3 linked regions of the Xenopus tropicalis genome follow. The main gene of each other region encodes a partner of the protein of the gene in region 3 in a complex. Links are inferred from orthologs where the notes say so. Each region holds a gene or a part of one and is shown on either strand. Other genes may lie near its edges.

Region 1 (5,499 bases), about 100 Mb from region 3:
GATGGGTCCACTTGTCAGTTATGGGGTCAGGAAGGAATTTCTATCTCCCCGTGAGGATATTTTGGCAGTCAGCCTGCTGGCAGATGGGGTGTTTGTCTTCTACTGGAACACTAGGGTGGGATTACTAGGGGCTGAACACGGGGGGCACCATGGGAGATGGTGTGAGTGCTGCACACTAACAGGCAGATACTATAGGCAAATTCATAAAACTGGAGACACAGCTGATCCGTAAAACATTCTTACAAGCAAACTGCACAGTGTTACTCCTATGTGTAAGCTCTCCCCTAAGGCAATGCAGTGGGGCCAGTGTTGCAGTCAGAAGTCAGTGGGCTCTACAGCAAACCCATTCAGTGCCCCATAAAACCTTGGGCACATAGGCTCCTTCACAATCATAAACAGAAATTTCTTATCAGTCAGGGTCCCTCTGGTCCTTCCACACTCGTGGCCCCCCAAGCAGTTACACCATGAGTGTTAATAAGGATAGCATGGCAGCACGGGCGCAATTTGGCAGTTCAGTAATAGCCTTGTTAGCGATCCTTGTGGGCTGGGGTGTGAAAGATTCTATGTTAGAACAGGCCCAATATCAAGCACAGGCTCCCACTTCTGGTCTAAATCTCCCATAATCCTCATGACTGATCTGTCCACAAACAGCAGATAAAACACTTGCGTTATAGACAAGTCAGGAGAACAGGGAGCCATTATGGGCAAGAAGACAGTACCTTAGGCAGGTAACTCCCCAATGGGCTTCTATAGGGTAAGGCAGAAAGAGAATGTGCCCTGCGCCCCTACATCACAGGGGTTCCTTTCAACTTCTATCAAGTGCTGCCATAGGATGCTGTTGGAGGTCCCTGATTTTGGCAAGTTCACTGAACTTGTCCTGTCACTGATGTCCCTGATTTATGTCAAATCCTTTAGATCATATATGTCAAACACAAGGCCCGGGGGCCAAATCCGGCCCACCTGACTGTTTTATGTGGCATTTGGTGAGTGTGTCTGGCCATCCAGCCTGATCAATTTCCATTTTCTCACATAGTAACTATGGGGTATATTTACCATGCTGTGTAAAAAGTAGAGTGTAATGTTGCCCAAGGCATCCAATCAGTAATCAGATTTCAACAGTAACAAACATCTATTGGCTGCTATGAGCAACATCACCGGTAATGCCTTACTCCCCTTTTTACACATTGTGATAAATATACCCCTTAGTATCTTACTAAGTATATTAATAAAATTTGTCCCGCGACTTAGCCTGTGTTTTAGATTTCCTTATGTGATTGAGTTTGACACCCCTGCTTTAGATGGACACCCCCCCCCCCCATCTTTAACATGGTGTTGCACCTTCATGTGAGTGAATATGACACAAGCAGGCTTAGGAGCATTACATGTTGGCGTGCAGCTGAATGAAACAAAGATAGAAGAAATGCCTGGGCCCAGAGATGGGATTGGATTCCCTCTGGCAGGGCAAGGGCGTCTAAGCAAGGTACTAAGCATCTGAGCGATTATCTCCCAGTACATCCCCAACTGGGACGGCCACTACAAAGGCAAGAGTGGGGATTACAGGTGTCTGGAATCCATCCACCCCCTGCATTCCCGGAACAGAAATATGCAATGGGCTATTTGAAATATGAAACATTAGCCCCTGCATGGCCATGTGTGGCTCTGTCTGGGACACCAGGGCTGGCTCCTCTATGCAGGGCGCTGTCATGTATTTCTCAGGCATTACAGACAAAAGGGATAGAGAAGAATAAATAGAAAGAACAAAACAACAAGCATTTGGACCCCCTGCTCTTAGCAAGTCAGTTTGGTGGGACTGGCAGGTTATGGTGTAGACTGCAGATCTAGGGGTGCTAAGGCCTCACCACAACTAGAAGGTGCAGTTCAGCAGCACAGACTCAGCTAAAGATATCAGGATCTTGTAATTGATAAAAGCTAATTGCTGGTTGGTTGCAATATGCAGAGATTTACTCCAGCCAAAATGTGGATATAGAGTAAGTCTGGTTCTATGATGACGCCATATATTTCTATATAGAGAGAAAAGAAACAATATATATGGAGTACACATGCCTCAACCAGCCTGTCCCACCGCTACTGGCACCAGGGTCAGGGCAGGTGACGGGCCCCATGGAAGGACTGTGTATACTTGGGGACAGTGGCCGTAACGCCTAAACTGGAGATAGAACAGGCTCCAGCACGACTCGGTGGGATTAATAAGGTTTAGAAAGTAAGTCTTCTGTTTAATCAGCTGGCCGCTCATCCAAAATATCCCACCCATACACTTGCATGGAGAAGCGAGGTATTTGCCCTGTTAGCATCGCCTCAGAAATGGACTGTGGCCCTGGATTTGTCACATCAGCGGCTCTGCGCTCTCTGCATATCAGGACATTAGTCTGAGCTGTGCCAGCATTCAGGCTGCTGGGTGACAATATGGGCTCCCTGCTGGCTGTGACAGGGACACTTGCCCATGGGCTGACATTCACATAGGGTAGATGGATGATGCTTGTTTCAGTTTCATACCTAAACAACATCATATTACAATGTCACTACATCTTGCCTTATTCTCCTGCATACTGTAGATGGGACTTGCAAGCCCCTCAGTGGAGTGCTGAGAGCTGCAGTTAAACAACAACTGGAGGGTTACAGGTTAAACGACTGAGACAATTTTCAATTGGTCTTCATTTTTTATTACTCATGGTTTCTGATTTATTTTGCCTTTTGTTCAGCAGCTCTCAAGTCTGGATTTTCAGCAGCTATCTGGTTGCTGGGGTCCAATTTCACTTAGCAACCAGGTAGTGGTTTGGAAAAAAAAAACAGAAATACAAATAGAGGAGGGCTGAAATAGAAATAGAAGTAAAAAAAAGTAACCATAAGACTAAAACTGTAGCCACACAGAGTAACAGTTTGAGGGTCGTGGGGTCAGTGACCCCCATTTGAAAGCTGGAAAGAGTCAGGAAGAGGAAGGCAAATAATTCAAAAACAATAAAAATGAAGACCAAATGAAAGCTTGCTAAGAATAGGCCATTCTATAACATTCTAAAGTAACCCTGAAGGTGAACAAGCCCTTTAAAGAAACGCTTCTGTACATATCAGCTATCAGAGCCCCTCAGTGAAAACATAAGATTCCCTTTAAAATCCTGTCGGATTCCCACCCCATACTGGTGCATCTCAGTGGGACATACTTACCTCCATCACTATCCGACCAAGGGGAATATCATTTGCGGATATGTCAAAAAACACTCGTTTGTTCTCCATAGCGAGGCTGCCCAGCTTGTAGAGTGAGGGGGATGCTATAGTGGGGACGGGTGGAGCCCCTGTCTTATATATACCTAGGCTTCCCCCTGCCCTAGCTGTCAGTCAGCCCTAGCTGTCAGTCACAGGGGAAAGCAGATAAGGCTCAGTAGGGCAGCCTGGCCAAAGCACTGGAACCAAGAATATTTGATACCAGCTGAGTCTATTCCTCTTCTAATCCTGTAGGATATGCTGTGGGTAGCACCAAATGCTATGTGATTAATGTGGGGGGGAGCACAGAATGAACACAATGCTATTTCCGTAACATCTCCTAGCTGGGCAGCGTTTCTTGTCCTCCTGATGGTATCAAGCAAATCACTGTGACCTCGGCTACTGTCAGTCCCCTCACAATCCAAGGCAAACCCCCAAAATAACAATGGCTAGGAGGCATTTCCCATTGGCCACCTCACTGCTCATAACAGCGCTGTGGGTCTTACGTCTCCCCAGCAGTCAGTCCCATTATATTTCTGTGGATGAAATTTGAATGTTAAAAAATCTAACACTCTTGAAAAGAAATATGCAATGGACTGTTAGACATACAAACCCAGGCTCCAGCCATTAACCCTCTCCCTCTTCTTTAATTGCTTTTTATGAGGTTAGTAAGAAGCTGGACAGTGGGGCTGTCCAGTTTATCAGTGGAATCTATTCAGATTTTGCCCCATCAACTACTGTACTGGGTCCTGTTATTCAATTTATTAAAGGGATTCTGCATGATTTTTGTGGTATAGTTTTAACTATATTACACTGTTCAGTTTGCAAATAATTCACTCTACCATTTAAAATTGTATTATTGGACCAACAAATGTATTTTTAGCTGTAATATTTGTTGTGTAGGCGCCATCTCAGTGCATTGTGCCTGAGTCTGAGCTTTCAGAAGGAGCCAGCGCTACACATTAGAACTGCTTTCAGGTAACCTATTGTTTCACCTACTCCCATGTAACTGGAGGAGTCCCAAGCCGGACTTGGATTTCTTACTATTGAGTGCTATTCTGATACCTACTGGGAGCTGCTATCTTGCTCCCTTCCTATTGCTCTGCTGATCAGCTGCTGGGAGGAGGGAAGGCAGAGTATAGCAGGTTTTTGCTTTACTAACACTATTAATATAGGTATGGTCATGTGATAACATAGGTGTGGTTTCAAGTGGGTGTTGTTTAAAAAAGGGGAGTGGTCAAAACTGGCTTCCATTATCGGCCCTCCATCAAGTAGGCCAGATAAATTCCAGCCCTCGGTACCACAGAAGTTGGACAGCACTGACTTAGGGGAAGGTATTGTACATAATGTATCGGTGTTTGCAGCCCAATTAGTTCCATCCAGGATGTGGCATCTTTGCAGCAGGATATTGACAAACTGGCAATCTGGGCGGCTAAGTGGCAGATGTGCTTTATGTGGAGAAATGTCATGCACCTGGGATGTAAAAATATGCAGCCACTTATACCCTTAATGGGGTGGGTCACCTTTAAGGTAACCTTTAGTGTGTTAAAGAATGGTCGATACTTTCACGCAACTTTTTTGAAGTTTTTGAATTATTTTCTTTCCTCTTCTGCCTTTTTCCAGCTTTCAAATAAGGGGTCACTGACCCCGGCAGCCAAAATACTATTGCTCTGTGAGACTACAGACTTGTTACTTTGTATTACTTCTCTTTCTGGCCAAGCACTCCCCTATACATATTCCAGACTCTTATTCAAATCACTGCCTGGTTGCTATGGTAAATTGGACACCAGCAGCAGATAGGTGTTGAAATTTTAAACTGGAGAGCTGCTGAACAAAAAGCTTAAATAACAAAAACAAACAAAAAAACACACAGAAAATTAAAAGTGAAGACCAATTGCAAACTCTTTAAGTGGGACTGCGCTGGGCAAATCCATAATGGAGAAAGACCTGTAAGTGGTTGTAGGTAATAAACTTGGCTGAAGCAAGCATGCCAGGCAGCAGCAGGAAGGTATACCCTTATATTAAAAGGGGCATTTATTGAAGATTAAAGCGCTGGTAAGGCCCCATATAGAATATGCTGTAGTTTTGGTTTCACCAGTATTCGGGGAAAATACATGGTTACTGAGGGTTAACCAGGGACCCTCCAGTTGCCATCTTGGAGTCAGCAAGTGACTGCAGCATGGCTATTAAACAGGGGCCTTTACATGGCGCCATTTATCCCCCTTTGCCCTGGTTATGAAGCCTTTCCCACTTGGTGGCATATAGTAGAAGAGCACATTGTTT
Region 2 (5,454 bases), on a different chromosome or scaffold from region 3:
GTATCACATTATTGCACAAAAATGTTTTCTTACACAGTTTTTAACAATTTAAACTATTCAGAACCAAAGCAATTCTTTTCAATTCAATGGTATTTTTAATTTTGCCACCAACATTGGAGCTGATTTTAAACAAAACTCCCTATCTGATATTGGCCTGATGATACTTATGTAAGACTGAATGAGTCCAAAAATACAGATCAGTTATTTGCGGGGGCCGGGGCGGCGTGGGATCACAAAGACACAGCCTGCAAGTGCTTCAGGAGGGGGGTGCTGACAGACAAAGCCTGGCTGGGGACGCATTTGTGAAGTAAAGAGTAGTGAGGTAAAGGAAGTGGGCATCCCTATTAAAGATGGCGGCGCTGTTCACTGAAAAGAGTATGTAGTAAATGTATCTCAGTAAATCTTTCTCTAGGCAAGCCAGAAATATAGCGTTTCTACATAGCGATAGTAGTACTATTGAATAGTGTGCTTAATTGATTTTGACTTTCCTTGTCCTTTAAACAGGCGAGTGAAACATTCTGTTGGCAATGTCATACTACAACAGTATGCTATGCAGGAAGATGAAGCATGTTTCAACAGTGTGGTAATCAATTTGTAACCTGTTTTATTTTGTTAAATGAAGGCAGAATAATACTAAACTATAACTCACAGGCCGCCCAAACACCACAGCCCCGGGATATAGGTAAATCTCCACAATGTCGCTCTCTGGCACAACCTGAACACGCATCACTTCACCCTTGGCCAGCATTTCATTCACAAAGTCGTTCCATGAGATGTTACCACCACTGCTGCTCAGGGAATTCAGCAGACTCATTATCACAGCAATGATAAAAAGAGTTCTAAGACGCTCTCTGTACATCTGATCCTCCCGTTCTCTTCTTTTCTTCTCCTCTGGTTTATAAAAGATTTTACATGGTCAAAACAAAAATTGCACAATTTTCGAATGTGGCAAACAACTGGAAATTTTTCCACAAAAAAAAAAAAAGCAGAGCACAATGATACACATATGAAAATTGAAACTGAGCATCTAATAGATTTTGGGGGACTCTGTTTTACCACTTTTATAAATAAGAGATGCATTTAAATGCACCAGGACTATTGTATCCTAAGCTCAAAGCAGAAGGGCCCTTAAAAGGACCTTTAATATATTATATCGAATGCACCTGCAAGCCTTAAAAAATCTCTACCTTCATCCTCATGTGGGGTCTTCCCTTTGGAACCTTCATTCTGATTTTCTTTATTTCCTCTACCCGATGTACTGAAATAATTTATTCCACCTGCAAATTAGCAGAAATAATGAATGGATCTAGACTACAGTGTGCAAACATGACGTTGAAACAGAAAATTCAGAATCATGTTTCAGAAAATAGTAATTATGACATAATCACGATTAATAACCTAATATCCTCCAGATTCTCAAGGGGTCCTGAATGAGATGCCGTTTTATTAAATATTCTCTCATTCCATGACTTCCTGGGGTAAGATTCCGGCACAGTAAATTCTAAAAGAAAAAAATAGTACTTTAAACATGTATAAGGATATATATAGTAAGTAAATGCTAGCAGGGTGATAATTTGCAAACAGTCATTTCATAAGGCAAAAAGGTTACGCATGGTAAGGAGATTTTCCTTTAGGTATAACATTCTACACATCAATTACAATAAATAATCAAAAGCGTAACATAAAAGTGCAAATCTAAAATTTTATTTTAGAATATACACAGGCAATTTCAGCTAGGCATGTGTACCTTAAGATGGTCCTACACTGACATATACTCTTCAGGATCTGACAAGCAGGTCCAGACTAAAATTTAAAACACATCCAGAAATTCCTATTACACAAAATCCCAAACAGCCTTAGGAACTCTCTATGGCTTTTTTATAGCAGGTATTTGTCAGAATCTACAGACTGTCAGTAAGGGCTTGCCTGCAAATCAAACAGAATATTACAGGTATGGCCACCTTTTTATTTTACCATTTGTTCAGGCCAACAGCCTAAAAGATTGGCACTACAGGATTGTAAGAGGAGCAGCAGCAATTCATCTCAATTTCCTTATCTGCCAGAATACCATCTGCTGACTAATGGTCAACAGATTCATTTTTGCCTATTTAATTGACAATTCTATGGAAATCATAGTACAAATATACTGATTGGTGTCATCTCCCCCAAATTAGACATACTGAAAATGGCATGATTGTATGATTTTATTGGTATGTACATGGCCAGATTAAATCTGGAATGTCTAGCCTGTGGCTTCCTAGATGCTGCTGGAAAACTACAGCAGGCAATTGTAGTTCAATAACACATATATGCCAGCATTGTAAACATGCATGATATAACCCAAAGTAACAGAGATTGGCCAGGACTACTTTTTTTACAAGGAAAACTGAAGGATATACTGAAATACTACACTGGTACATTTTAATAGGATCTTCTAGCCATTACCATATTATAATTTATAATCTTTCATTTTGTTTCTCCATAATAAAAGTTGAACAAACATTAAGGATAGCAATCACTGTTGTGATTCTATATCACGGGCATCTATGGCATATAACTATATACTCGGGGGCCTGGGTAGGAGACAGGACATCAGGCTTGATGGAGCTTTGACAGCTACAGCGGTCTGCAGCAGCAAGTGATTTCACTGCTACTTTTACCTTATAAAAGTTGTTGCTGCTAAAAGTTGATATATCTCCTAGCATGACATTAGTGTGGGTGGGTACTGGGAACGACAATCCCACTAATAACATTACATCACCTCTGACTCTCCTGCTAGTAATATACAGAGCTGACATTATTACTGACATTACTTTCAGGAACAAAGTTATTGAATTTCACCTTCTGGTGGTTTGGCCCTGACTTACAGGTTGCATTTCTATTTCAATTTTTCTAGAGGAAATAATGACAAAAAAATAATTCACTGGTCTGATAGCATTTATTGAAACCATCTATCATATACAGTACTGCGGGCGTACTGGAATAAAAAAAAAATACCAACATCCTGTATTGCCCATGACTGAAACCTAATTAAGTCGTTGTTTGTCAAAGAGGTTTGGGTGCCTGTGCGCTCGCTGCTTTGCCGCACACTACCTGAAGGATCCGAGACTCGCTGCACTCTGCACGGGGAACCTTCCGCCAACATCCCGCAGACCCGAGCCGAAGGCCCCGGAGAGCGAGCAACAAAATGCCCATCTCACTGCAGAGTAGGGCCAGTGACCTAAAGGCAAGGCCTCCCGGTTCGACCTACTGCACATCCACCTATCATCCAGAGCGACGCTCAGGAAATCCCACCGCACCCCGCCCACCACAGCTTTGTTCCGCCTCCGGCCCTTGTATCAATGGCGCAGTGATACTATTTGCAAAGGTCGCACAAGAGCTGTGTCACGTTATACGCGTGCGCGTATGTGTGCGATATGTTTCCTAGACGTCGACATGTAAAAAGTGCAGTGATATGTATTTCCAAGATATGTTTGGGATACGGTAAAGCCAGAGAATGCATAGGCTATCAACTATGTGTTTTATCACAACATAAGCGCTGGTCTGGTGAACAGGAGAAGTGCTTAATGTTCATATGGTGTATAGTGGGGGTTCCAACCTTTCTTACATGTGAAGCCACAGTCAAATGTAAAAAGCCTTGGAGAGCAATAAAAGCATCATAAAAGTTCATGGAGGTACAAATTAAGAGCTAAGATTGGCTATTAGGTAGCTTCTATGCACACTGTCAGCTTACAGGAGGTTTTATCTGGTAGTAAATCTTGTTTTTATTGAAACAAAACTTGTCAGGAATTCAAAACTCATTCTAACTACCTGGTTTGGGGGCACAGAGAGCAACATCCAAGGGGTTGGTGAGCAACATGTTGCCCCAGAGCTACTGGTTGGGGATCACTGCTATATACACATAGGGGCACATTCATCAAAGTACAATTGTTTCCGAATACAAAAAAAAATCATAGTTTTCGCACTGTGCGTATTCTTTGCGACTTTTTTGTTAATTTGCGCAACTTTTTCGCAATTCGGATTCATTAAAGCTTCGTTATCGTGACTTTCCTTTGGCCAAGTTGGAGCTGCAGAGTGCCATTGAGTCCTATGGGAGGCTTCCAAAAACATGCATCAAAGGATCAAAGTCAGAATTTTTCCCATTTCGGGATTTGAACTCATACTTATACTTAAATCTACACTTAAGGATGACTAAGCTACTCTTATCCAACTTATTTCATTTGATTTTTCACCGAAAGTCTATCAAATAGATGTAAAGGAGATCTCATGTCAATAAGATGGCAATTATCTGCTCTAGGCATTTTGAGACTTTTATTCTGTGTTAACATTTAGAGGCACTTTTGTTAAAGTATGAATTTTTACCTCAGTAAACCTGGTTAAAGAGCATCAATACAGCAGGGATATTTTCACAGTGGCACTTGTTTCTTAAATATTATAATGACATCATTGCTAGAATAAGGTGCTGAAAATATTGATGGTTAAAGTATGTGAATTAATTACACATAGGGGTAGATTTACTAAAACTCTAACGTTTCTTTTTAAAAATTCGAATAAACTAATTTCCACGAATGTCTGAAATTTACAAAAAAAGTCTAACATGTCATGTGCCAAGAAGTCTCAGAACCTCAGATACTTCTTTTTTGAATTGTCACACAAAAAAAACTGTCAAAAATTCAAAAACATCAAAACTTTTGAAGCAAAAAAAAAATCCTCCAGGGAAGGGACATCTGCCATCTACTTCTACATGATTTCAGCCAGTTTTAGCTGGCAAATTGCCAGATTCAGATTTTTAGCCATTTTTTCACATCTTGTAAATCTTGGGAAAAAAATCCACCGGTTAGTAAAGGGCCCCCCTATTGCTCAAAAAGCTATAATGTTTCCAAAAATAAGAAAACACTGCTCTATTACCTAGTGAACAATATAATTTAAATTACTTAGGGTAGCATATAAGTGCTCAAGCAAAATTTTACCATTTAGATGTGTAATAACACTGGTGTACTAAATCCATAAATCAATGATGTATGTGGCGATATGACACAAATAGTGATATTCTAGTGTGATTTCTGTATTTTTATGGTTTAATTTTGCTAGCCTGGACATGGCAAAATTACCTTGAGAGAAAAATAATTTTGCCCCTTGATGTGAGAAAGAATTAAGTTTACAAATAATGCAGGACTGGATCATCACATAACATGACATCACATGGTTTAGCTGATATCTATGGTGTTGTGAAATGCTGTTGTAGGGTTGCAGATTGGATATCCTCATATCAGGACTCCAGAATTGCACAGTTCCCATGATACCTTTGTGGCCATAATGGAAAATTTCAAAATGTAGATTCAATCATTTTCTTATGGGCGAATTACGGTCGGATGAATAAAGGTGGCCATACACGGGCCGACTATAGCTGCCGATATCGGTCCCTTGGACCGATTCGGCAGCTAATCGGCCCGT
Region 3 (4,767 bases):
ATACTGTTTGTAATTCCATATTTGTTACTGAACAAAATGCTGTGTAAGTTTTTATTTTATTTTATTATTGAATGGCACTTTCAAAATAAACTCATCAACCTAAAACAAACAATTCCACAGTACATTATTTGTACATGTGTCTGTATTATTGTAAAGCCACAGTCACAAGAAATTGCAACAAACAATTGCCAGTGGTTTCCAGTTTTGTGATATTTTCTATATAATCCATGTAAATTTTCCTACAGGCTGTTCTTCCAAGCTGTCATTCTGCTGTAATTGGGGACAAATGCAAGTGCAAATTATTTTAGTAGAAGATAAAGCAGTTTTTTTTATATCAAGCACATGATTGTGGTAACATCCTGTTGCTTAGTTCTTTCACATCCGCTTCTTATTACACCCTTAAAACATCACAAATCATTTCAGGTTGTTTACCTCACCTTGTGCCTTAGTGCTTTTCCATAACATTCTCTAATATTACCTGCTTGCATGGTGTTTTTGACACATATTTAACATAATTCTGTTATTAGCAGCAGGTAAAGTATATTGCAACTATTGTATATATTGCAACTAATACATGTAGTTCTGTGTACCACTATAAGCGAAGGAATCAAGTCACTTCACGTTTGATAGGCGTCAGTGAACAGAAAAAGGATTGCACCATGTGGAACCATGATTACACAACTTCCAGTAACAGAATATTGTGTGTATACTTCTCTGACTTACAGGAATTTACAAGCTCAGGATCAGCGAATGCAGAGACTAACAAAGTTGCTGGCAGCTTGGAAACCAAATACAAATGGGCAGAATATGGCCTTACTTTCACAGAAAAGTGGAATACAGATAACACATTAGGGACAGAGATCACTGTAGAAGACCAGGTAAATATCCTAATTTGAGATAATTTAACTCTGGAACTTGTGAGTAAGATATGTCTTACAATTTAAATACATAATATGTTTTCTCTTTAGCTTGCAAAGGGTCTGAAGCTGACATTTGACTCTTCATTTTCTCCTAACACAGGGTAAGAAGAATCTGCACTTAAATAACTGAGAGTTTTTAATTATATACAGCCCTCCAAGGGGAGCATGAATTAGTAGCTGGGGGACCCAGCATGAAAGATTAGGGTAATTCCACATAGGGCTAATCAGGGGTGTAAACGTATTTGCTGTCCTAGCTATCCTTGTAACTGGCTGAATAATTACATTTATAGAACGTTCAGCATAATCAGATAACCAAAGGCCATCCACACCATCCAGTTCTTTTCAGTATCAAATTTGCCACTGACAGGCAACAGGGATGTTCCTAGATAGCATAGGTTTTTAGCTCATCTGGAACTGATTTGCCAGACTCCTTATGCTTGCTCAGCTCCACTGTAAATTTATAGGACTACTGTGAGTGAAAATAGATAGGCGTAAAGCTTACAAATAAATTATGCATGAGATCTAGGCAACATTTAAATCTGTATAGTGTAGTGGAAAGATGGCTGAAACTCTGTGTGGCTTTACTAGCAAGAGGTATTAATTATTTGTGTTATTATTAGTTACTGGTAGGATTACCTTTTGCTTTGATTTTCTGCCTCACACAACTTAGCAAGTTTTGCTGGGTTACACAAACACTTCAAAATATTGAAAAAACAGTGCATTTCACTGGGTTAAACTAATGTGACTTTGGCAAACAAAAAAGCTTTATCCAGATTTGATCCTCGCTGAATACTGGGGAGAGCTTTTGTGTAAAACTGATATGTATATAAAACATATCTTAAACAGGCGTGTAAACAGATGGGGTGGGGTGGGGGTGCATGCTTGACACCCTTGGTAGCCAAAAGACACTTCCTCAGAAGCATTAGCACCAAATTATAGCATTAGGAATATTTAGTAAGTCAAAACACACAATATATATTATAAAACAGATAAGGGAATCTATTCGCTAATAATAATTCCTAATACCAATTTATTCTTTTCTCAAACTATATAGAAAGAAGAATGCAAAAGTCAAGACTGCATACAAGCGAGAGCACCTTAACATTGGCTGTGACATGGATTTCGATATTGCTGGCCCATCAGTGCGGGGAGCTGCAGTGTTTGGCTATGAGGGATGGTTAGCTGGCTACCAAATGACTTTCGAATCCTCAAAGTCCAGAGTCTCCCAAAGCAACTTTGCAGTTGGATACAAAACTGATGAATTTCAGTTGCATACCAATGTGTAAGTCAAACAAAACATTTCTTGTATAAGCAATTCAGCACAATGTTAAAACTTTCACTGCTAATCCACATAAACATTTTTGTGATCTTTTACTTTTACCCTGTGGGGAAACATTTTGTTTTCCAAGAGATTTAGTTTGAGTCTACAATAGCTTGTAAAGGTAATGGTAATAATGAGAAAAATGGCAAATTGTGAAACACCCACAACGATGAACAATAAACAACAGTGCATTATTAATAATGTACTAAATATCCATGAATTCTAAATGTTATACTAATCAGCCAAGGAATTGCTTCTACTGTTGCGAGGGGGTGTGGACAATTGCAAATCATTTAGTGAAAAAAAGAAATAGCAAAACATTGTTGTGGTCAAATCATTGCCCTGACTATTATGAATGAATACAGGATTATCCTTTTATTATCTCATACTAATAAAAACAATTAGTGGGGCATTAACCCCCTTATAGGCTGCTGCTAGTTAAAGGTAACTAAAATAATACATTTTCAGTGACATATAAACCTGTATCGCAGAATTAAAAAAAATATATATATGACTATAATAAATATGCATATATTATAATATGGTTAAGGATTCTGAAATGATATGGGTTTTAACATACAAGGGGTCCTACTGCAGAGCATCTTATGGATTGTGTATATATATATATATATATATACTGAAACAAGCACAGCACTCCTAGGATTTAGGGTCTTATTCATAACATTCATGCACTTATTTTTTTGCCCACAATAGCATTTTTTATATTTTACATAATTAAAATAGACCAAAAAAACTATAAACAAAGACACATCTGATTTAGAAAGCCCCATATCTTCTAAGTGTAGCAATACCAGATATGGATAGTTTACCAAGATTCCTGAATGAGGTACCTGAGATATTTTTTTGCATTTGGTCATATCTAAGCATCATAGACATTTGACATAGACTTTTTAATAGAAGATAAATATTGTTTAGAGAGGTTGAACTTCAACCCTAAGTAACTTAGACTCGGCCCATATAAAGCTGACAATATAACGTATATACAACGCACATGTGCTAGGGTTCATTTCATCAGAAGAACTAACCTTTCTCATGTTTTTGGCTTGACCTAGAAGTCTGCACTAGCAGACCCAAATTTTGGTTTTAAAAAATGAAAATTTGGCTCTTAAAGTTACCAGAGGCGGCTTTTTGCCAACCCTAGTAACTGGCTGCTCACTGCCACCTGAGGCAAGGTTCTCACAGGAGCAGCCCAAATCAACCATTTATTCCTCCAGATTTTTCTGCTTCCTGGTAACTTACTTATATGGACAGGGACACCAGAGCAGCTCCATACCTGTGGAATTCATTTGCAGAGAACAGAGGCACAAAATACATTCTACAAAAAAAGTCCTCAGTTCCTGCAATGACATATCAGCCTTGCTGATCCTAATTATAAGTAACACGTTTTTATCTCAGTGAGAACCATTAACATAACATTTCACTAACATACCGATTTTATATGTTGTGTCTCGCATATCCCTATTTGGATTGTAAGCCCTACTGCATTGTGGGCCCTTTTGCATTGGTTTTTTATTGAAAAGTACAGATCATTTACAATGTTGCAGAAAATGCTGGCATGTTTTAAATTGTCCAGTAATAATAATATTTGTGGTATATTGCCAACAGAAATGACGGTACAGAGTTTGGTGGTTCTGTATATCAGAAGGTTAATGATAAACTGGAAACTGCAATCAACCTTGCATGGACAGCAGGAAACAGCAATACACGCTTCGGAATAGCAGCCAAATATCAAATCGATAGTGATGCTTCGTTTTCAGTAAGTACAAACAATGAAGCACATCTTCATAAACTTCATCAGTGGCAAACTAAAACTCTTCATGTTGTTAGGCCTACTGTATTAACTTCCAGAACTTACATGAACAGTTTGCTTTCATTTTTGGCCAAACCCTGGGTTGAGTCATTCATGACTCGACTTGGCTGAATATGTTCCAACCAAAGCCACACCTCTAAAAAATGACTTATTATACAGCATTGTATGTCTGGGCCTTTTTAACAAAGTAAAAGTTTATGTTGATAAGATTTGTTGGTTTTGTTAAATAAACCTGGACTTGAGAGGGATCAAGAGAGTAATATGTTTTGCCAAGCAAACATAAATTGCTTTTAAGCAAGCATTTCTGATTTCCATGTTCAAAGTGATACTCTTATAAAGGAAAAGGAAAGATACAATCACTGAGGGGGTGCAAAAAAGGTCTGGCACCCCTCAGTGATTGTAATCGCTTACCTTTTACCCCAGGCTGGTGCTTCTGTTAGAAGAAAACTGCACCAGCCTGGGGTAGTTGTGAGGGAGCGATCCTCTTCCTTCTTTCTTAATTCTTCTGAATCCTGGGGCCAGTGCATTTGCAGTAGGGTGAAAATGGCAACTTTCTTTTTAAAGTTCAACTTTTCACTCGAATGCATGTGCAAGCAGTAGAAGACACAGAAGAAGGAAGACGATCGCTCCCTCATGCCTAACATTTGGCATCCCCCAGTGCTTTTTACATTTCTTTTTCCTTTAAAGACATACAA

What was found.
Region 1: vdac1 (region 3) and peptidyl-prolyl cis-trans isomerase share a complex: the UniProt entries of both Homo sapiens proteins name them as parts of the mitochondrial permeability transition pore complex. The link is inferred for Xenopus tropicalis from reciprocal best matches to the Homo sapiens genes VDAC1 and PPIF.
Region 2: vdac1 (region 3) and spg7 share a complex: the UniProt entries of both Homo sapiens proteins name them as parts of the mitochondrial permeability transition pore complex. The link is inferred for Xenopus tropicalis from reciprocal best matches to the Homo sapiens genes VDAC1 and SPG7.

The regions. Positions count from the first base shown.
Region 1 is NC_030679.2:126,259,878-126,265,376, forward strand, and holds the start of peptidyl-prolyl cis-trans isomerase, read right to left. Parts: upstream 3,386-5,499; 5' UTR 3,250-3,385; coding exon 3,181-3,249; intron 1-3,180. UniProt on the Homo sapiens protein: PPIase that catalyzes the cis-trans isomerization of proline imidic peptide bonds in oligopeptides and may therefore assist protein folding. Involved in regulation of the mitochondrial permeability transition pore (mPTP).
Region 2 is NC_030680.2:58,785,084-58,790,537, reverse strand, and holds the start of spg7 (paraplegin), read right to left. Parts: upstream 3,334-5,454; 5' UTR 3,196-3,333; coding exon 3,094-3,195; intron 1,502-3,093; coding exon 1,399-1,501; intron 1,278-1,398; coding exon 1,188-1,277; intron 892-1,187; coding exon 650-891; intron 1-649. UniProt on the Homo sapiens protein: Catalytic component of the m-AAA protease, a protease that plays a key role in proteostasis of inner mitochondrial membrane proteins, and which is essential for axonal and neuron development.
Region 3 is NC_030679.2:22,886,480-22,891,246, forward strand, and holds part of vdac1 (voltage-dependent anion-selective channel protein 1), read left to right. Parts: intron 1-725; coding exon 726-878; intron 879-968; coding exon 969-1,021; intron 1,022-1,974; coding exon 1,975-2,202; intron 2,203-3,867; coding exon 3,868-4,018; intron 4,019-4,767. UniProt on the Homo sapiens protein: Non-selective voltage-gated ion channel that mediates the transport of anions and cations through the mitochondrion outer membrane and plasma membrane.